2 linked regions of the Rattus norvegicus genome follow. The protein of the gene in region 1 binds, or shares a complex with, the protein of each later gene. Links are inferred from orthologs where the notes say so. Each region holds a gene or a part of one and is shown on either strand. Other genes may lie near its edges.

What was found. The genes of interacting proteins can lie anywhere in the genome.
Region 2: Eif3g (region 1) and Eif3k share a complex: the UniProt entries of both Homo sapiens proteins name them as parts of the eukaryotic translation initiation factor 3 (eIF-3) complex. The link is inferred for Rattus norvegicus from reciprocal best matches to the Homo sapiens genes EIF3G and EIF3K.

Annotation. Positions count from the first base shown.
Region 1 is NC_086026.1:27,703,624-27,713,834, forward strand, and holds Eif3g (eukaryotic translation initiation factor 3 subunit G), read right to left. Parts: upstream 6,324-10,211; 5' UTR 6,314-6,323; coding exon 6,294-6,313; intron 6,175-6,293; coding exon 6,128-6,174; intron 5,935-6,127; coding exon 5,851-5,934; intron 5,742-5,850; coding exon 5,653-5,741; intron 5,512-5,652; coding exon 5,452-5,511; intron 4,039-5,451; coding exon 3,934-4,038; intron 3,842-3,933; coding exon 3,652-3,841; intron 3,146-3,651; coding exon 3,038-3,145; intron 2,910-3,037; coding exon 2,773-2,909; intron 2,683-2,772; coding exon 2,576-2,682; intron 2,381-2,575; coding exon 2,365-2,380; 3' UTR 2,291-2,364; downstream 1-2,290. Other genes in the region: Ppan (suppressor of SWI4 1 homolog), read left to right, coding at 1-74, 156-370. UniProt on the Homo sapiens protein: RNA-binding component of the eukaryotic translation initiation factor 3 (eIF-3) complex, which is required for several steps in the initiation of protein synthesis.
Region 2 is NC_086019.1:93,392,401-93,402,679, reverse strand, and holds the start of Eif3k (eukaryotic translation initiation factor 3 subunit K), read left to right. Parts: upstream 1-5,192; 5' UTR 5,193-5,258; coding exon 5,259-5,317; intron 5,318-6,248; coding exon 6,249-6,347; intron 6,348-8,609; coding exon 8,610-8,730; intron 8,731-9,297; coding exon 9,298-9,372; intron 9,373-9,884; coding exon of another isoform or gene 9,885-9,890; exon of another isoform or gene 9,891-10,279. Other genes in the region: Map4k1 (mitogen-activated protein kinase kinase kinase kinase 1), read right to left, coding at 2,783-2,847, 3,481-3,571, 3,690-3,747, 3,908-4,006. UniProt on the Homo sapiens protein: Component of the eukaryotic translation initiation factor 3 (eIF-3) complex, which is required for several steps in the initiation of protein synthesis.

The sequences.
Region 1 (10,211 bases):
GATGAGCCAGCTGGAGGAGGAAGAGGATGATGCAGAGTATTTCCGCCAGGCCGTGGGCGAGGAGCCTGATGAAGGTGGGCAGGGTCTGTACTGGCCACACCTGAGGTCCTACCTTTTACTTCTGAGGAACTTAACAACCATTTCTCTCCCTACAGACTTGTTCCCCACAGTGGCCAAGCGGAGACGGCAGGGGGGCCCTGTGGGCAAGAAGCGGCCTGGGAAGGAGCAGAGGCCTGGTAATAAAGGCCGTGGTCAGAGTGGCAACTGGCAGGCTCTGAAGCCACATGGCAGATCCCAGAGAGTCAAGACCAAGCTGGGACCCAGAGCCAGGTCCCGTGACTTGGGTCCACCATCAAGGAAAGGACCCTGAACCTGCCTGTCAGTGGGTGGACCATGTGTGGATGCCCCAGATTGGGGCCCGGAAGCTGCCCTGGGCCCCAGTGCACTCCGGTTTCCTTTCATAAAGGAACTGCCCAGTTACCTCCAATAAACCTGAACATGACACATTGAGCTTTCTCTCTGGCTGGGGTGGGGACAGCTACTAAACTGAGACAGGCCCAGCCTGGATAGTACGAGGAGGAAGCAGGCTGGGTGGGAGGGTTACTCTGGCTGTGCAGGTAGAGACTGGCTCATTACCGGCCTGCTGGGAACCCAGATGGGACCTTGGATAGCCAGAAGCTGCTGGGAAGATTAGCCAGCACTCAGCTCATTGAAGTGGGACGTGTGTTCTATGGGGCTAATTATATCCCACTCAGGACATTAAGGGAGTGGTGGGAGGGTGCTACCAGAGTTTGTAAGTTGGGGGTGGGGTTGTTTGGAGTGGTAAGGCTACAAAGTGGATACCTCCTCACTGGTACTAGGTACCCTCCAGTGGTTTGGGGGGAACCTAGCAACTTCAGAAGGGGAGTGCTCTGAAGTTCACAACTGCAAGCTTCTGTAGTCTCAGTACAGAGTCCTATGCCTACCCAGCCTTGTTTCCAAATCAGTGTGGCCCTGGTCCATCCCACCTAAAGGTAGGTTGGTCTGGTCAGTAAGGGGTCTACCAGGCTGTGTGTCACTTGTAGGAACTGGTGTATGGAAAAGGAGGAGTAGGCCTGAGGCGGGTGGCTCAGTCAGGTACTCTGCTCACAGGGAGCTTGTCCAGCCCACAGAAGTACTTGGGAGCTACTGGCAAGTACATCCGTCTTCAGGACTTCCTCTGGCTCATCCTGATTGCAGAGCTCCTCTTGGCCACAGTGGGCAAGTTTATCACCCAAGTACAGAGGCCTTCTCTGTGCAGCCAGCAGTCAGCAACATGTTCTATGCACGAACACTGCCTCTCTGGCTGCCTACTGCCACCCGCCTGAAAACTGGAGCTTGGGGATGGCTATGGGCCTGCAACCTGCTCAGCAGCAGCATCCTCTGCTTGCCTCGGTTTCAGCCAATACAAGGTGGTTGTGCACCCCTTCTTTACACAGACACCTGTCACCTGCAACCCAAGCACCTGGGCTATCGGTGCTGTCAGCTGGGTCATGGCCATCCTGAGTGCTGCCCCCCACGCTTTCTCCTACCAGAGACAGCCCAACAGACGTGGGGCAGCAGCAACAACAATCTCAATGCCTCTGTCAAGTACCTAGAAATGGGGGACGGACAGCCAGAGGCCTTCAGAGCCTACAGTGTGATCCTGGCAGGCCTGGGTGGCTTCCTGCCTCTGCTGTTCACACCAATGACCGACAGTGTCCTGGGGCTGGTGGTGCCAGGGCTCAACCACAGCCCAGAAGCTGCGTGTGGTAGTGCTGGTGGCCAATGGTGTGGCTCTCCATGCCTGCTCCTATGCGCCCTACCACATCACACAAGTGCTCCATGTGGATGCCAAGATGTGCTGGTTGGCTCACTGCCCCAATTTCTCCAATAAGGCGCAGGCTGAGCAGGAGCTGGGGCCCTTCTTTGGCTGACAATACACATCCTTGTGCCCCTGGCCGCATGCATGTACCCCTTGCTCTACATGGCTGTGGTACCCAGCATGTGCTGCCACCCATGTCATGTTGTGACAACAGATCCTAAGCAAGGGTCCTCCAGTTACCCTCAAGGCTGGTGCCTCACCAGTGCCAGCTGCCTCCCACCTGGGCAGGTCCTTTAATAAAACCATAGGCTGGGGTTGGGGATTTAGCTCAGTGGTAGAGCGCTTGCCTAGCAAGCGCAAGGCCCTGGGTTCGGTCCCCAGCTCCGAAAAAAAAAAAAACCCATAGGCTGAGGGAGGGGCCAGCTTCGCCCCCACAGGGAGACCCATGAAAACGAGCAGGACACAGTGTATTTGGAGTCTGTTTACTGGAAGCTTTCTGTCCCTGAGGATCTGGACAACAGCAGCAGGCAGCAGATGTCTTATTAATTCGTTGAAGGCCTGGGAAGAGGAAGAGAGGTGGTCAGGATGCAGGTGGGGACCTGTGATGCTGAAGGTTACCTCATACCAGGGAAGCCCAGGCCTTGCCTGCTTGGGACCAGTAGCTTCATGCCTGGCAAGGACCTTCCTTCAGACAGACCTGGCAACCACATAACAGGGCCAGGGAGAATGTGGGAAAGGTAGAAGGGTTCTTACTTGGCCCACTCGACATTGAGGATAAGATGGTCGTAGCCAAAGCCAGACACCCCTGCAATGGCACGCGCAGCATCCTCCCGGCGGTGAAAGCTGATAAAGGCAAAACCCTGTGGGCCGAGGCAGACATGGAGGTGGTGAGAAGTGGGTCAGGGGATGCCTACTCTCCAGTTACCCATCCCTCAGCCCCGTTCACCCACCTTGGACTGCCCAGTGGTCTTGTCCTTGGCCAAGTAGATTCGGGAGATGGAGCCAAAAGGCCGGAAGAGTTCCTGTAAGTCAGTCTCACGAGTGTCCTCAGACAGATTAGTGACACGGATGGTGGCATTGTCATCAGCTTTGTGGGCAGGGCAGGGAGAGGTAGCCGTGAGGAGGATGCCGTAGTCAGACCCACGCCCACAACGCAGGACTAATTACAGGGTGTCTAGGTACCACCTGCTCCCTGGGTTTTCCTACCCTCCTCACCTCTGCGGTTTGGCTGCATAGACTCCCCACGGCGGCTTGCCCCGTCCCGGAGACTAGGAGGCACATACTTCCCTGTCTTGTTCTGGGCGGCCTGCACAGGCTCCAGTTCTGGAAAGCAGCAGACAAAAGTGATATTCAGCCCACCCCTGGGGACAGGCGTCCAGCCACCCTTTGGTGACCCACATCATATCCAGGAAGCTACAACCCTTCAGAGTCTCTACTCACGACATGGACAAGGTGAGCAGGGCAGACGTGATCCGGGCTTGCAGAGCCCTCCCTACAAGCTAGAGAATACCAGCTGGCAGCAGCCTGACTATAGGATGTCCCTCAGCAACACATCCATGATAGCAAGAATCAAGTCACAGAAGGCAGTTACCCCCACAGGACATGTTAGATTTCGGTCTACTGAGCCCAGCACATATGTGGGTGTCACCTGAATGTATGTGTGCATACATACATATACACACGCACACCCAAGTTAGAGTAAGTCATCAGTCACACTTGCATCAGAATGACCACCATGCCCAAAGTTGTCCCTAGGTGATATAGGGAAAGAAAACAGTACACTACAAAAGGAACAGCTGAGGCCCCTCCCAGGCGCCCCATGCCCACACCTCCTGGCAATTTCTCCTTCTCCCCGGTAGACAGGCCCAGCTGCTCAGCCAGCTCCTTCTGCATGGGTCCTAGTGTGTCCTTGTAGGGGCAGCGGGTGGTCCAATGGTCGCCCTTGCAAATGCGGCAGGACACGATCTTCTGGCCCTTGAGCTTGTTCATTGGGTCCTCCTCCTCCTGGCAGTTCAGGTCCTGGTGGGGAAGGGATGGCTCAGAAGGGGCTGCTATGTCCTACCCACCCCACTCCCTCTGCGTTTCTCAGGTTCCAGTTTCACCCTGCTCACCTCTTTGCTAGTGATGAATGTCATGGAGACGTCATCACTGACTGTGGTAGTGGCTACATTGGGCCCTGGCGGGTCAAACTCTGAGTTGCCAAACTTCTTCCAATTCTGGGCTCCCAGGAAAAGATGGGGAGGTGAGGATGAAGGCAGGAAGGATCCCACAGTGCAGCACCCCAGACAGACAACCATTCCGGGGCTTTGACTCCTATGTTCTAGTTTCCCTAGAGGCCTTCCGTGTGGTAACAGTGACAATACCCACTTCCTAAGATAGACATGGCGGCACATGACATCACTCCAACATCTGCCAGGTGCAAACAGGAGGATCCTGAGCTGCAGGCCATCCTGAGACACAAGCTCTAAACCAGCTTGAGCTGTATGAGGCCCCATCTAAATGAATGAATAAATACATAAGAAAAGGAAAAGGGGGCTGGGGACTTAGCTCAGTGGTAGAGCGCTTACCTAGGAAGCGCAAGGCCCTGGGTTCGGTCCCCAGCTCCGAAAAAAAGAACCAAAAAAAAAAAAAAAAAAAAAAAAAAAAAAGAAAAGGAAAAGGTGCTGGTGCCGTAGCTCAGTGTGAAAAGGTGCAGTTTACTTGTTGTACTTGTAACAACCTGAGCTTGATCCCAAAGTCACACAAAAAGTTGAGCATGGGGCTCAACTGTGCCACTGCAGTTTCTGGGCAGGTCAGTAGCCCAGCTCCCATCAGGAATGAAGGAGGAATCCCCAGATCTTAGGAACCTTGAGCTAGTTAGACCTGAGGTTCATTTCCTTCCTGTAACATGGGGGCCACAAAGCCCCCTGCCTCCCTAAACTGGCGTGGGGATTGAGAAGCCATGTCGAGCTAGATGACTTGGGGGGGAGGGGTGCTTGCTCTCAGGCAGTGCTGCCCCGGCTAGACGCCCTTGCCCCCTTGGTAAGTAGAGGCTGCTCGCTTCTTCATGTAGACAAAGGAGGAAGAATCTAAGTGGGGACTCGGGAGGCAGAAGCATTCTGAATGAAGACTGTAGAGCTAAAGTCTCTCAAAAATAACAAGCCAGGAAGTGGTGGCAGTGCCTTAAATCCTAAGTCTGGGGTAAAGGCAGGTGGACCTCTGAGTTCATGGTCAGCCTGGTCTACAGAGAGTTCAGAACAGCTAGAGCTACAGAGAAACCCTGTCTGGAAAAAACAGACAAACTACAAACAGAAAAACCAAGAGGGCTGGATATGTCTCAGTACAGTATTTGTCACAGAAGTGCCCATCAGAGTTGATCCCAATGAAGATCTGAGATCAGAGGCATGTACTTATGTGGGAACAGCAAGCCCAGTCTAGTTTCTAATATAAAGAGACCATCTCAAACCAAAAGTGCGCACACCTGCGCACAAAAGGAGAAGAAAAAAAAATCTTAACTTCATCTACTCCTGGGTCCTAAACTTTCAAGGCCTAACACTAAACTTTTATTCTACATCAACAAAAAGGGGCTTCCTAAGTCCTCTGGTCAGTCCTGGGGAACACCCCCATCCCCCAAATAAGTACACTCTCACCTTCCTCCTGGCCACAGCCTTTGATGCCTTCCGGGTCTCAATTCTGAAGGTTCTGACAATCTGAAGGTGGGAAAGAGTTAGGAGTGCTTCCCGAGTCTCAGGCCTGCCTCAGCCATCCAAAGCAACACTGACACTCTTCACCACCGATCTAAGAGCCCCTGAACAAGTCACGCTGACCACATATGCCCACCTCACCCTTACCTTGAACTTCTTCCCATCTTCCTCTACCTTGTACTCAGTCACCGTCTTTATGTTCCCATTGATGACTTCCTTGGGAGGTGGCAGTGGGTCTGGAGGAAGATCACAGAAACTAACTCCTGGGTAATGGGACTGGCTGGAAAGTAGGCTTGAGAATCGGAAGGGAGAAGGGAGAAGAAGGCAGGGATGGACGGTGCTCACCTCCAGGAAGTAACTCCGGCTCTGGACTGGTGTCACCGGTGGGCAGAGGGATTCCTTTCAGGAGCTCGCTGGTGACACACTTGTCTGCCGGAGGGAATTCGGGGAGGAAGGTAAGTGAGCCACAGCGCTGGAACTTTCAAGCCAATGGCGGGGGTTGGGGTGGGGGACCGCTCCAGGGGCAGAGCGCAAAGCGAGGGTGGGACTGGCCACAAGCGGCCCTAGCCTGTGCGTGGGCATCCGGGTCTCGCAGCGGGCGGGGCCGCGCACAAGCACTCACCGTCCTCTCCCTCCTCTTCCACCTGGTCGGCCCAGCTGGGCTTCGAGCTGCGGGGACAGGAGATCGGTGAGCGGGTCCCGGGCCCCGCGCTACCTGGACCACCATACACCCCAGAGCTGCCCCCACTCGGCCTCTCTGGCGACCCCCACCGCCACCGAACACTTACTCAAAGTCGCCAGTCGGCATCTCGAAGTCCTACTCCACGCAGCTCTCAGCCCGGGTAAAGACCGGAAGCCCGTGTAGAAGAGGCTTCCGGTGCTGTGGCCGCTGCCTAGAGCGGCCAGACCGCGGTGACCACAGCGCCTCCCTGTGGACAAATGTGGACATGCATGTTTTGCGTGCCGCAAAGCGCTGGCATCCAACCTGGAAAGGGGGTCTAGAAAAGAGCTTCTAAGAGCGTTTTAAACTTTTTACTCCCTCTTTAGGCTGATGGAACTAGATGTCAGTGTCTCACTCTATAGCTAGGATAATCAGTAACTCCCCACAATCCTTCTGTCTCAACTCCAAAACGCTCATGAACATCATTCCCAGGGTGGCCTTGAATACGAGGCTGTCCTGAACCTTGTGGTGTATGTACCCCAGCTAGCCTTGAATCTTTCCACCTCATTCTAGCAAGTGCCGGGAATACGAACATGAAACCACCACACTGGAAACTGATTCGTTCTCTCCCTCCTCTTGGAGAATTAGTTTTAATTATCACCCAGTGTTAGAGGTGGAAGCTGGAAAATCATGAGTTGAAGGCCATTTCAGCTACTTTTTGGATTCCAGGCTAGCCTGTGCTACATGAGACTCTGTATCCAAAACTAAAACCCTTACTTTGTTCCCCAGGCTTGCCCCTGAACTCCCGAATGCAAGCAATTGACAAATAACTGGCATTATACCAACAAGCCTGGGGGAAAAGCACATGTATCAAGAATGCCCTTAAAAAAAAAAAAAAAGAACCAAAAAAAAAAAAAAAAAAAAGAATGCCCTTGATTTGTGTTGTTTGGATGATACCAGGACTCTGGTTTGTTGAAGAAGATATAGACTCAGACCACCTGGTCTCCTGTGCTTCCTTTTCTGTGACGCATGCTAGGTTTTATCATGCAAACTTGCGTGTGTGTTTGTACTGTGTTTGAAGACACCGTGCTTGTGCACTCACAAACCCTTATGCACAGTACACGTGTGGAGGTCAGGGGACACTTTGCAGGAGGCCTCTCCTTCCACTATGTGGGTCCTGCAGCTCAGGCCCGCAGTCTTGGCCTCCTGTTGGGGTCAATGAATCGCTTCACAAACCACATGAACACCAATCTCTGACAGACACGGACAGTTTATTTAGCGTACATCCCAGGACTGGTTGACCAAGGTCACACTCCAGATTCAGGGACTGAACCCCAAGCTAAGATCCTGCAGGGTTGTTAAGCCCCAAATCCACAAACATCTGTGCCAAGTTATTTCACCAATCAGGATTTAGGGATAGGCAGATTTCCTTGGGATCATGTCTTTGTTGTACACTTACCCTGCTCCCAATGGTTGGGGTATTCAACTGTGGCAGGGGACTTGCCTTGTCTAACATTCAAGTCTTAACTTGCCAGCCAGGGGGCTGGAGAGATGGCTCAGTGGTTAAGAGCGCTGACTGCTCTTCCTGAGGTCCTGAGTTCAAATCCCAGCAACCACATGGTGGCTCACAACCATCTGTAATGATATCAGATGCCCTCTTCTGGTGTGTCTGAAGACAGCTGCAGTGTACTTATATATAATAAATAAATAAATCTTTTAATTAAAAAAAAAACTTGCCAACCAGGATGTCAGTTATCCATGCTCATGTCTCTTTTTGCTCTCTGAGGTTGTCAGTTCCCAGGAAGGTCTTGGGAATGTAATCTTTACTCAACTCCTACTCAAAATGGAAGTCTTGTTCCAAATAGTTTCTTACACTGGTGCAGGTGTCTCTCTTATGTTGGGGTCCATCCCAGGGGCAGCTTACAAAGGCAAGTGCCATAGAAACTTATGTATGGTTCAGGAAGTGCTGCTGGGTGGCCGATTCGGGTCCAGGCTTATTGTGGGTCATGATACAAAACCGTTCTACTGACTTCTATCATGATTGATTTCCAAGGGCACAGAGCATAACAGAATACGTAATCAATCTCGGCATTAGAAAGTTTCTTAGTAACAGCAGAGACATGGGAAAGTTTCCTTATAATGGTAGGCTACCCAGGTAACAGTCACCTAGGCCCTAACATTTTATCTAGGCCTTAAAATATTTTACCTAGGTCCCAATACCTCCTTAGCTGCAAAAGCATGTCGTAAGTTCTATTCCTGCCACCTTAAACTATCTCCCATGTGAAGCTCTTATCAAGTAAATGAAGACTATAACAGATTCTCTGCCTCCAGGGACACCCATTCCAAGCTCCGTGTGTAATGGCCAATACTCCCGGCACTTAGAACTTGTATCTTGGGCTGGCCAATGACTCAGTGGGTGAAGGTGCTTTCCATGAGCCTGTTGCCGTGAGTTCAACCCCAGGACCCATCTGGGAGAAGGAGAGAACTGACTCTAGCAAGTTGTTCTCTGAGCCCACACGTATGCCGTGGTGTGTTCTCACACACTGAATTGGAGTGAAGTTCTTGTAGAATCATGGCGTCTAGGGTAAACACCAGCGTGAATAGCTGTTTTCTAGAAGCACTAAGACCTTGAAGAAATCTTGTGAGGATGTTCAAGATTCAGTCCATAGAGACTGGATTTCCCTGCGCCCAGAAAGGCCTTAATTCATCCTCAAGTGGTTCTCTTTCTTCAGTGGACCCTCAGGACCAAGAACGCCAACACGAAAGTGTAATGGAATCAGAAGAGGTCAGGCACCATCTAAGGATGGGTGGTATGGCTGTAAAAGCAGGTTGGATAATCAACTTACATTTGGCATTTACTGTCATTCTCTCTAAGGATGCAATAAACAAAATGGTCAATTCCAATGCTAGGGAGGTAGAGGCAGAAAATCTAAGAGTTTGAACTCAGCTGGGCATGATGAAACAGAGTGGAGTCGTGACTCAAGTGACAAACAGACAAACAGACTAAAGAGTTAGTTTGAGGGGTTGGGGATTTAGCTCAGTGGTAGAGCGCTTGCCTAGCAAACGCAAGGCCCTGGGTTCGGTCCCCAGCTCCGAAAAAAAGAAAAAGAAAAAAAAAAAGAGTTAGTTTGAGGTCTCTGTCCTCCACGCTGGAGAACAAAGTCACTTTAAGATTTTCTGAGGTACCTTACTGTGTTTTCTTGTGAGAAAGCTTCTCTCAGTAGCCACTAGAGGGCAGAGTAGAACAGTCAGTCAGAGAAGGAAGGAGGTTGGGGAACCAAGGAAAGAATGCCAGCTGCAAAGCGGGTTTTTAGGAAAGTGACCCACGGGGCCACACACCCGGCTGAGACAGGAGTGTTCTCTCAAGACTGAGGCCAGCCTGGGTTACAGAGCAATCCCCTGTTTGTAACAAAATAAAAAGAAAACTGGCCAGGCAGTTTTTAAAGGTTACAAAAATAAAGCACTAATAGGATTTTTTTCCTTGGAACCTAGTAGTACAACTTATGACAAATTGTATGCAAAGGTGTGACTGTTAGAAGGCTGTGTAGTGGAGGGGGGGGGCTGCATATGCCCGTCATCAGTTGAGGTAGCAGCAGTGAGCCTCCAAAGGCTGCTTGCACTACACAGTAAAAACCCACTAAATAAATGGTGTCGCTCTTTTTCTGGGGAGCAGAGTCTTGTGTAGCTTTGGCTGGCCCCAAACTCGCTAGGTAGCTGAGGATGACTTCAAGCTACCAATCCTCCTGCCTCTACCTCCCCAGTGTTTGAATGACGGCAAACACTGGAGCCCCAGTGCATACTGGGCGTGCTGTCTTAGGTTTCTATCGCTGTGATAAATACCATGACCGAAAGCCACGTAGGGAGAAAGGGGCTCGCTTTATCTTACAGTTTATAGTCCTGTACTGAAGTCAGGGCAGGAACTTAGCGCGTGAAGCAGAGGCCATGGAGGAGTGCTGCCTACTGACTACAACCTATGGCTTGCACGGTTGGCTTTTGACTGTTTTGTTTTGGAGACAGAGTCTAACTCCTGGCTGTCCGGGAACTG
Region 2 (10,279 bases), on another chromosome or scaffold:
CCCTCCACCCATGACACCTAATAGGATGTCCAAAGAGGAGGGGACTTTAGATAGGACAACCAGAAAGGGGAGAGAGATGGTAGTAGCTATCTGAAATGTGGTTGCTCTTGCCTGTAAACCAATTACTTGGAAAGCTGAGGTAAGAGGGCTGCTCTGAGTTTGAGGGTAGCCTCAGCTATATACCAATATACGGGCCAGCCAGGGTTACATAGAAAGACTTGTTTCCCAAACAAACAAAGAGCATTTGCACATGGGAGAAGAGAGAGAGAGACAGATAAATAAGCAGCTGTAGGGTAGAGGAAGAGAATCATTCAGCAAATAATTACAACAATCCTATTCTGTGCCAAGTCCTGGAGACACAGCTACAAGCAAGATAGTCGGTCCAAAAGGCTGGGGGTGTGGCTCAGTGGTAGAGCCCCTGCCTAGAATCCCCCAGTGAGGGGCTGGGGGCGTGGCTCAGATCTAGATCCCCTGCCTAGAATCCCCCAGTGAGGGGCTGGGGCGTGGCTCAGTGGTAGAGCCCCTGCCTAGAATCCCCCAGTGAGGGGCTGGGAGCGTGGCTCAGTGGTAGAGCCCCTGCCTAGAATCCCCCAGTGAGGGGCTGGGGGCTTAGCTCAACAATAGAGTCCTCACCTAGCATATGAAAGTCCCCAGGTTTCATTACTAGCACATGCCCCTGCAAACACACACACACACACACACACACACACACACACAGATAAAACTCTGCTTTCATGGAGAGAACACTCCAAGAGAAATAATATATAAGATGGAAAGATGGAAAGGCTGGAGGAATTTTTCAATGCTGGACCTCTTGCCTGTTAGTTCAAAAACAAATAAGAAATAATAAATAAGGAAAAGGGCTGGAGAGATGGCTCAGCGGTTAAGAGCACTGACTGCTCTTCCAGAGGTCCCGAGTTCAATTCCCAGTAACCACATGGTGGCTCACAACCATCTGTAATGGGATCTGATGCCCTCTTCTGGTGTGTCTGAAAAGAGGGACAGTGTACTTAAATAATAATAAATAAATAAATCTTAAAAAAAAAGGAAGGAAAAAACATATAACGTAAGGTGTTAATACACTAGTAATTGTAAGAAAAAACAGAACCAGAAACAACAACAGGAAATATGTGTGGGAAGGGCATGACATTTTACACATGCTGGTCAGCAAGGCTACCATAAGAAGTGGAGGCGGGGGTGAGCTGGGTCCGACTATGCAGGAGAAAAGGAGGAAGACCAGAAGGCAGCAGGTAATGGTCGGTCAGTAGCTTCTCCCTAGAGGACTATGGGAGACGAGCCTCTGCAATGTGAGGGCAGAGAAGATGAGCAATGGTAGGGATACAGAGACAGACAGACAGACTGACAGACAGACTGACTGACTGACTGACCAAGCGTCAGAGCAGAGGAGGAGATAAGCAGAGAGCAAATGCAGGGAGATAGACATATTTTGGAAGACGAGCAGGGTTAGTGAAGAAGGAACAAGAGAAAGATGGGACAGAAGGTGTCAGGCAGACAACGGGGCTTACACGATAGTTGGGTGAGTCACTTCCTGCCTATTGGCCTCAGTTTCCCGTTCTGGGGGAGGTTTTGTGTTGCCCGGATGGAAGCTGGGACCTCGAGCCATCCTACCAGGCAAGCATTCTGCCACCGAGCTATAGCGAGACCTTTTCAGACATTTGAAATTTTGGGCTAGGGGGAGTTAGACAGAATAAGAGATGTGAGTACCAGAACTTCAGACAAGGCTGAGGTGTAGGGCCTGGTTGCAGTTGATTGGTCGTTCTAGCTACTGAAAGGCTAAGGCAGTGAGATCGTAAGTTCAAGGCCAGCCTGGGTAGCTTGTTGAGACTGTCACAAAATAATAAGTAAAAAGAGGGCTGGGGAGCGTCTAGAGAAATTGAAGGGATGTGTTAATAATACATTGTATACCTATAATGTTTTTAAAAATAGATAAATTAATTTAAGTTTAAATTAAACCCCCAAAGAATAAATTAATTAACTTAAAAATGGGGGTAGGTATCAGGGATATAGTTCAGAGTGCTTGACTAGCAAACATAAGACTCTAAGTTCAAAACACACTACTATAGCAAAAAAAAAAAAAAGCGTGTGTGTGTGTGTGTGTGTGTGTGTGTGTGTGTGTGTGTGAGAGAGAGAGAGAGAGAGAGACAGACAGACAGACAGACTCAGGAGGGATGAGAGACCTATGTAACTCATATTCCCCTGAAAGGTGGACCACAGGCTAACAGGCTAGACCCAGAAATTCATTGATTGCCTGCCCAAAAATCTGAGCGACTAATCTGAGTTAGAGAATGCAGACATAGGCCTGGTATGCTATCACATGCCTTGAATCTCAACACCAGGGGTGGCAGAAGTAGGCAGAACTCTGTAAGCTGGAGACAAGTCAGAACTATATAGTGAGAAGCCCTTCTCAAAAAAGAGGAAAGAAAGGAAGAAGGGAAGAAAGAAAGAAAGAAAGAAAGAAAGAAAGAAAGAAAGAAAGAAAACACAAAAATGCCACAACCCAGGAATAATTTTTGGCAAGAAAACCTAGACATCCAGGCAAAGACAGAGACATGGAAGTGGAAGGGATTATTGCCTGGGAAAAGACAGGCAAGACCCACAGGGGCTGGAGGGTAGGGTCATCACAGGGTCCCCAGCATCCTCCAAGTGGATGGGCCCAGGGTAAGATGTGGGCCAGGAAGGCAGCTCCCAGGATACAAGCACAGAGAGAGGGGAGAGGTAGACTGGTGGTAGAAAGGGGCCTATGTCCGTTTGTCTTTCTAACCTTGGTAGATGTCCTGGAGGGAACCGGCTCCACAAAATTCCATGCAGATCCATAGCTTCTGAAGCCTATAGGGAGTCAAGAAGGCAGGGATTACCATGGTATGAGACCTCCCAGGGCTATCTCACTCCCCCTGCCCACCAGAGAGTGTCCTGTTCCCATGGCAGAGGAGGTTGAGGATAGACCAGGAAGTGTGCGTTTCAGAGCAATTTGACTGAAACCTAGGTCTTTGGGTTCCAATCCAAGGGCACCCCACTGCCATACCAGAGTAATTTAGGGGACAGGGCAGAGGACTCATGGAGAAGCAGACAAGACAAAGAGTCCCGGGTTAAAGGGACGGATGTCATAATTGGGGCAGCCGAGATACTACCTTGGGAGCCAAAGAATTGGAGGGTGCATATTAAAGAAGCAGAGTAAAAATGGACGAGGCAGGGAGCAGGCCAATGGGAGATTTGATTACAACAACAACGAAGAAGGTTCTAGATTAGCCCTTAAATTGTTGGGTACTCAGTAAGAAAGGCAGAATTTCAGATTGGGAATCAGACTGGGATGCCCCAAATAAAAGTGAAAGTCCTCAGGTTGGAGGTCAAGTTAGGGTATCTGGGTCACAAATGGTAGTTTAGTACTGAGGACCCAGTTACCGGTGCCTGGTCAGAAATAAGGGGTTGGGGCTGGGGTTGGGGGATGGGTTAAGACATCACCAGAGGTAACTGCCATGGTAAGCCACGATGTTGGCGTGCCGGCAAGATTTCAGCATGAGAATCTCCTTCTGAAGGGTAGAGACGTCATCATCTGTGAGGAGGGGCCGGAGAGAAAAAGTGGCTCCAAGCAGGGGCTTACAGAAGTGTTCCCCATAGCCCAGGAAGTATAAGGGCAGGGATGGGGAAGAAGTTTCTGGGGCCGCTCTCACCAGGCTCCATCTTCACCATCTTCAAAGCCACTAGGTCCTTAGACACCTTGTCGCGAGCCTTGTAAAGGGGAAGTTGGCCATCAGGCAGGCACCATAGCTTGCCATCCCCAGCATCTCTGAACCAAGGCCAAAGCCTGGCATTCCTTTACAGTCCTGTTTGTCGGCCTCACCCAGCTCTCCCAGGTTTGATGGTGGAGGAGACAGAAGGGCTTTCTCACCTTGAACACTTCTCCATACGTTCCACCACCCAGTCGCTGCAGTAGATCATAGTGTTCTCGAGGGTCCTTATTAAAGATGTCAGGGTCCACAAGGGCCATCCCTGGAGGCCGGGGCTGGGCCAGTGCCCAGTGGGCCAACAGGGCCTCAGGGCTCAAGCTTTGGTATTACCCTCTGTCTCCACAAGTCCTGGGCCCGCCTTGACTCTGTGGGCTGTGGCCTTCCCCCTCCCCACTCTCGCTTCCTGCCCCAGCTGCAGGGCTGTGCAGAGGGCTCCGCAGAGGGCTCCACCCCCGTCCCCTGGGTTCTGAGAGTTTGATCGCCTTGGGACTGATGGGACTCCCCTTTACTCCCTGAAGGACACTATGTAAATAAGATGCAAAAGTTCTTAAATGCAACCTTGGGCTGACCTAGCTCCCTCTCCCCAACACTCTCCTATTTTGGGAGGAGTCACAGGTTACAGTTGAACCTCTGCTGAGTACTTGAAGATTTGGAGTCAAGCCAGAGGTCGCAGGTCTGCACAAAGCTGGATGAGTAGCAGAGGACTGTTTACTCGTGACACATGCGTGTGACCTAAGTGACAGCTGGGCTCAGGGCACCTGCCCACATGGCACATGTCTCTGCATCGCTTCAAAAGTGTACGGAATCTGTGGCAGACGTGGAACACTTGTTAGCAGTCCCTACGCGGAGCCTGATTGAGACTCCATTGTACCACGGTAGTCCCTCCGGGTGCTGGTATCATTTGCCTTCCCAGCTTCCTAGCAGAGAGCACTGTAGCATCACGGAATGCGAGTGGGGACAAGGGTTTGGAACTTAACGAGGAAGTGAGGATACGGGATGCTATCTTAGGCACCCAAGTCGGAGACAAGAAGGGCTTCAGAGAGCATCTCCCACCCGACTAAACGCAAAGAAAAGAATGGACGCCTTCAAGCGGCTATAGGGATTTATGGCTACGCATGCGTGCAGAGAACTATGTCTCCTTTTCCCGTACAACTCCAGCGCACGCGCATCGGAAGCTTAAGGTTCGTGCGGCCCGGGAAAAGCTTAGCCCGCCTCCTGGCGCCTGCGTAGTAAGGCAGACTATACCTTTCTCACGGTATTGGTCTCTTTTAGGTGTGACCAATGCGCATGCGCAAATTACAACTGCTAGCAGGAAATCATGTGGTAGCAAAAAAAAAAAAAAACCGGCGCGGCTGCCGGAAGCGCCTTTCCCTATGCCTTCCTTGTAGGAACTAGAGAGAGGGTGTGACGTAATTCCGCTTCCACCACGTTTCTTTTTCTTCCGGTCCTTGAGTACTTAGTACCGTAACTGGTGTTCGACTCCAGCTGGGGCTGCAGAAGGCGACAGTGGTCATGGCGATGTTTGAGCAGATGAGAGCAAACGTGGGCAAGTTGCTCAAGGGTATCGACAGGTCTGAGCTCGGCTGGAGGGCGCGCTCTGATCAAGCGGGGTGGAGAAGACGGGAAGCCAGCCCTGGGTGGCTAGGGCTTCACGCTCTTCCAGAGGCGGAGTTTTTCCAAGTTTAGCTTTGTCCCTCAACTTTACCTTTTCTGCTGCCACAGACTCTCGATGTTTCTTAGTTTCTTCCTCCTCTGTCCTTCTTGTGGGCCATCCTACATAATGTTCACTGATTTCTATTTGGCCAGTGGGAACCGGAGGTGATGGAAACAGCCACAGGTCCTGCGTTCCTGGACCTAGGTTCCCATTCCATCCCGGCGACAACCCCTTTTAACAGATAGTGACAGTAAGGAGAGATCAGGGCCTGGCCAGGGCAAGCCACGTATTGACCTAGGCAGGAGAGAGTGGAACTGGGTCAGAACGGAATCCAAGAGAAGGTATTCAGGAACACATAGGGGCTGCAGAGACTGGCTGCGGTTGGAGGCATCTTAGACACGACCCGGGGCTCAAGTAGGGCTAACCAGAGGTCCATGTTGTGAACAAGACTTACTGGAGGTAGTACAGTTGATCAGCTATCTAGGTAGTTTCAGTGGATGGGACTAAATTATTTAAGATCGAATGAATGTAGCTTTATTAAAAAGAATAATAAAGAAAGGAATACCACATGGCTAGAATCAAAGCTGCCGGAAGGAAGAGAGTGAGTTCAGGTTAACAAATTACAGTGGTCCCTAAGTCCTATAATGGGACTGGCCTCTGTTGTTCTCTTCTGTTTACCCATGTCTGTCTGTCTAGTTATCTTCCTTTTTTGAGACAGGTTTTCACTATAAATCCCAGACTAGCTTCAAACTTGCAATCCTCCTGTCCTACCTCAGCCTCCTAGGTACTGGGATGAATGGCATGTATCCACCATGCCAGGGTACTCACCCATCTTAACACCCTACCAGGTACAATCCCGAGAACTTGGCTACCTTGGAGCGGTATGTGGAGACACAGGCCAAGGAGAATGCCTATGATCTAGAAGCCAACCTGGCCGTCCTGAAACTGTGAGTGTCTGTCCCCACCCTCATGCCAGGAGCTAGCTAGCAGAAAGCCACTCTGGATAGGGAACCTGGTGCAGAGGTGCCTGGGGCAAGCTGCAGGGTGTGACTTCTCTTTGTGTGTAAACTAAGGGTCTGAGTGGGGTTGTTTTGTTTTGTTTTGTTTTTAATCCATTCCAAAAACATACAGGGTAATAAACGATTCTCTGTTTCTTGACAGATTATTGTAAATGAACATCCATTTTGTTAGTTCCGCTGGCCCTCAGCTCATGTGCTTTACCCCATCACATCCCTGGCTTAGGTAAACCACTGTTGAGCCCTTATGGCCCAGCCTTGGGTCCAGATCAGCTTAGGTCAGGTCTGTTTGCTTTGAGCTCTGCTGTAATCACATAGCTCAAGCTCTTCCGCACCATGCATCTTCCTCTGGGTTGGAGGCAGCCTTCTTCCATTTTTTTTCTTTACCCATATTCATGAGTGTGTGTGTGTGTGTGTGTGTGTGTGTGTGTGTGTGTGTGTGTGTGTGTAGGGGCTGTGTGTGCACACATGCATGTGGCTTGAGGTTGATATCAACCAGTCATCTTCAATCATTCTTCCACTTTATTCAGAGTCAGAGCCCAGAATTCACCAACACAGCTTGTCTGGCTAACCAGCTTGCTCTTGGCATCCCTGTGGTAACATCTTCAGAGACTGGAGTGCCAGGCAGGCTGCCGTGCCTACCTGGCATAAACATTTTATTATTTTTTAAAGATTTATTTATTATATACAAGTACACTGTCGCTGCCTTCAGACACACCAGAAGAGGGCATTCGATCCCATTACAGATGGTTGTGAGCCACCATGTTGTTGCTGGGATTTGAACTCAGGACCTCTGGAAGAACAGCCAGTGCTCCTAACCTCTGAGCCAACTCTCCAGCCCTATTTTATTCTTTTAAATTCATTTTGTTTTATGAGTGTGAGGGCAAGGGTGGCGGTCCAAGGACAACCTGAAGTGGTCAATCTTGCTTTCCACCGGTTTGTTTTGCTGAGTCCTGGCACTCCTGCTATAGACCAGGGTGGCCTTGGGACTAAGGACACCATGTCCGGCACTTTCCACCTTTCTGATTTCTGCTTCTGAATGCTGATTGGCCTGCACACTTCTAGAAGATTCTGTTTCTCGTCTCCCCATGGCAGCACTGGGGCAAACTCACTGAATCCTGTTTTATGAGTCCAGATTTAGCTTAGATCAGTGAGTTTACACCGTAAGTGTTTATACTGACTAAGCCATCTCTGGTCCTTTTTCTTGTTTTCTTAATTTATTTGCTTATTTTTAGCCAGGGTCCTGTAGCTGTCAGTGGCTTTGAACTTGCTATCAAGATGACATTGAACTCCTCCTCCCAAGTGCTGTCATGATGAACACGTGCCATCATCCGGCTTGCGTTCTCTGAGACCCACCCAGCACTTTACTGTAGAGCTCAGGCTGACCTCGAACTCCTGGGGCTCCTGTGCCTCAGACTTTCGAGTACACGCATCATGTGCTACCACACCCGGATGCCTCCCGTGCTTGCTTTTTTTTTTTTTTTTTTTCCTTTTTTTCGGAGCTGGGGACCGAACCCAGGGCCTTGCGCTTGCTAGGCAAGCGCTCTACCACTGAACTAAATTCCCAACCCCCCTCCGGTGCTTTCTTGACACACCACCTGCTGTATAGCTTGGTGTGTTTCGGTGTCTTGTTTTTGAATCAGGGTCTCTCGCTGTGTGGTTGTTGGCTGTGGAATTTGCTATGCAGACCAGTCTGGCCTTGAACTCACAGTGGTCCACCTGCCTCTGCTTCTGCCATTTGTAGGCACCAGTTTGTGTAGCCTTAGCTTTCACATCTGTAAAATGGGGTTAACATATTTGCTGGAGATGATGGCTGCACCTTGAGTGTTCATTGTGTGGTAGCCTCCCCTCTTACAGGATGGGGCGGGGGCTGCACAGAGGCAGCCTGGCTCAGAGTGGGAATGCCCACTCCAGAAGTCTGCTTCTCACTGTATCTGGTGTCTAGAGCAGGGAAGTGCACTGGAGAAATTAAGGTTGCATAGAAAAGACAGTGGGTGTTGGGGCTCACACATTCCTAGCAGGGTCTAGCGTGTAGCAAGGGGCATATACAGGCTATCATTTTACCCATTTGTATAAAAGCAGCCCAGATGACCCTCAAACTTGTAACCAGCCTGGGTCCTAAGGTTGCAGTCTCGTACCACTACAGCCAGCTTTGCAAGACACCACAGCTGCTATGTCTCTTACTGTCCTCAGGTACCAGTTCAACCCAGCCTTCTTCCAGACCACAGTCACTGCCCAGATTCTGCTGAAAGCCCTCACCAACCTGCCCCACACCGACTTCACTCTGTGTAAATGTATGATCGACCAGGCACATGTATCCTTGCAGCAGCATGCGAAGGCTGGGAAGCAGGGCGGGTAGAGGGCTCTGTGCATGCCCTGAGTGCTGGGCCAGTCCCTGGATGCTGCATGGTGCTCCCATGTCTGGGAGTACACGTGGAGGTCAAAGGACAACTTGGAGTAACAGTTCTCCCCTTCCTCCTGTGGGTACCAGGGATTCAGGTCCTTAGGCTTACGCTGCGGTTTTACCTGCTGGGCCATCTTGTTACCTCAGAGTTTTTCTTTCTTTTCATGTATTTTGAGAAAGGGTCTTGCTCTATCACCCTAGCTGGCCTGGAACTTGCTGTGTAGGCCGTGCTGTGCTTGAACTCACAGAGATCAGCTGCCTCTGTCTCCCAAGTGGTGGGTATTTTTTGTGGTGCTGAGGATGGAACCCAAGCCCTCACACGTAGGAGGCAAGTACTCAGGCACTGTGCTGCTGAACTGCACCCCCAGTCGTAGTTCCCAGTTCTTTTGGGGGGCTGGGGAGCTAGGAGATAGGAAGAGAGGGTTGAGCTAAACCTATGGCTTCCCGCACTGTTTCCTTAATGCTTCCTGATTCCAGCAAGAAGAGCGGCCCATCCGACAGATCTTGTACCTCGGGGACCTGCTGGAGACCTGCCACTTTCAAGCCTTCTGGGTAATGTCTTTAGGGTGCAGGCTGGGATGCTAGAGTACATGTCTAGCATGTGGGGAGCCCTGGGGGCCATCCCCACCCAGCACTTCCTAAGACCAGGCACACTAGTGTACACTGTAAGTCTAGAAGGTGGGGGTGGGAGAATCAGAAGCTCGGTGCCACCTCAGCTGTACAGAGTTGGGGTCAGCCTGAGCTGCATGAGAGCTGTCTCAGACAAGCAAAGGCAGTGTCAGCCAAGGTCCCAGGCTCTGTGCTCAGGGCTTCACATAGAGCCATGACTGACCCACGTGGCTGAGGCTCACCCTGTCCCCTTGTGTTGAGTCCCTAGTTAGAAGCAAACCCTCTCTTATCCATCCGAGCTCTCTGCCTTTCCAGCCTTCACATGGACAGATGCCCAGGGGAAAGCTAAGCTGGGTTGGTGGCCCTTGCCTGAGTTCCAGAGCTTAGGAGGCTGAGGATAGAGCTCCAGACCAGGGCAGTTAAGAGCAGTGGCTCAGAACCATCTGTAACTCCAGTTCTAGGGGACCCATCGTGTTCTTCTGGCCTCCATGGACATTGCCTGTCTTAGTCGGGTTTCTCTTCCTGCACAAAAAGTACATCATGACCAAGAAGCAAGTCAGCACTGGAACTCAAACAAGCCAGGAAGCAGGAGCTGATGCAGAGGCCATGGAGGGATGTTACTTACTGGCTTGCTCTCTTATAGAACCCAAGACCACCAGCCCAGGGATGGCACCACCCACAATGGGCTGGGTCCTCCCCCCTTGATCACTAATTGAGAAAATGCCTTACAGCTGGGTCTCATGGAGGCATTTCCTCAAGGGAGGCTCCTCTCTCTGTGATAACTCCAGTTTGTGTCAAGTTGACACACAAAACCAGCCAGTACACTGGCCATGCACTTGGTACACATGCA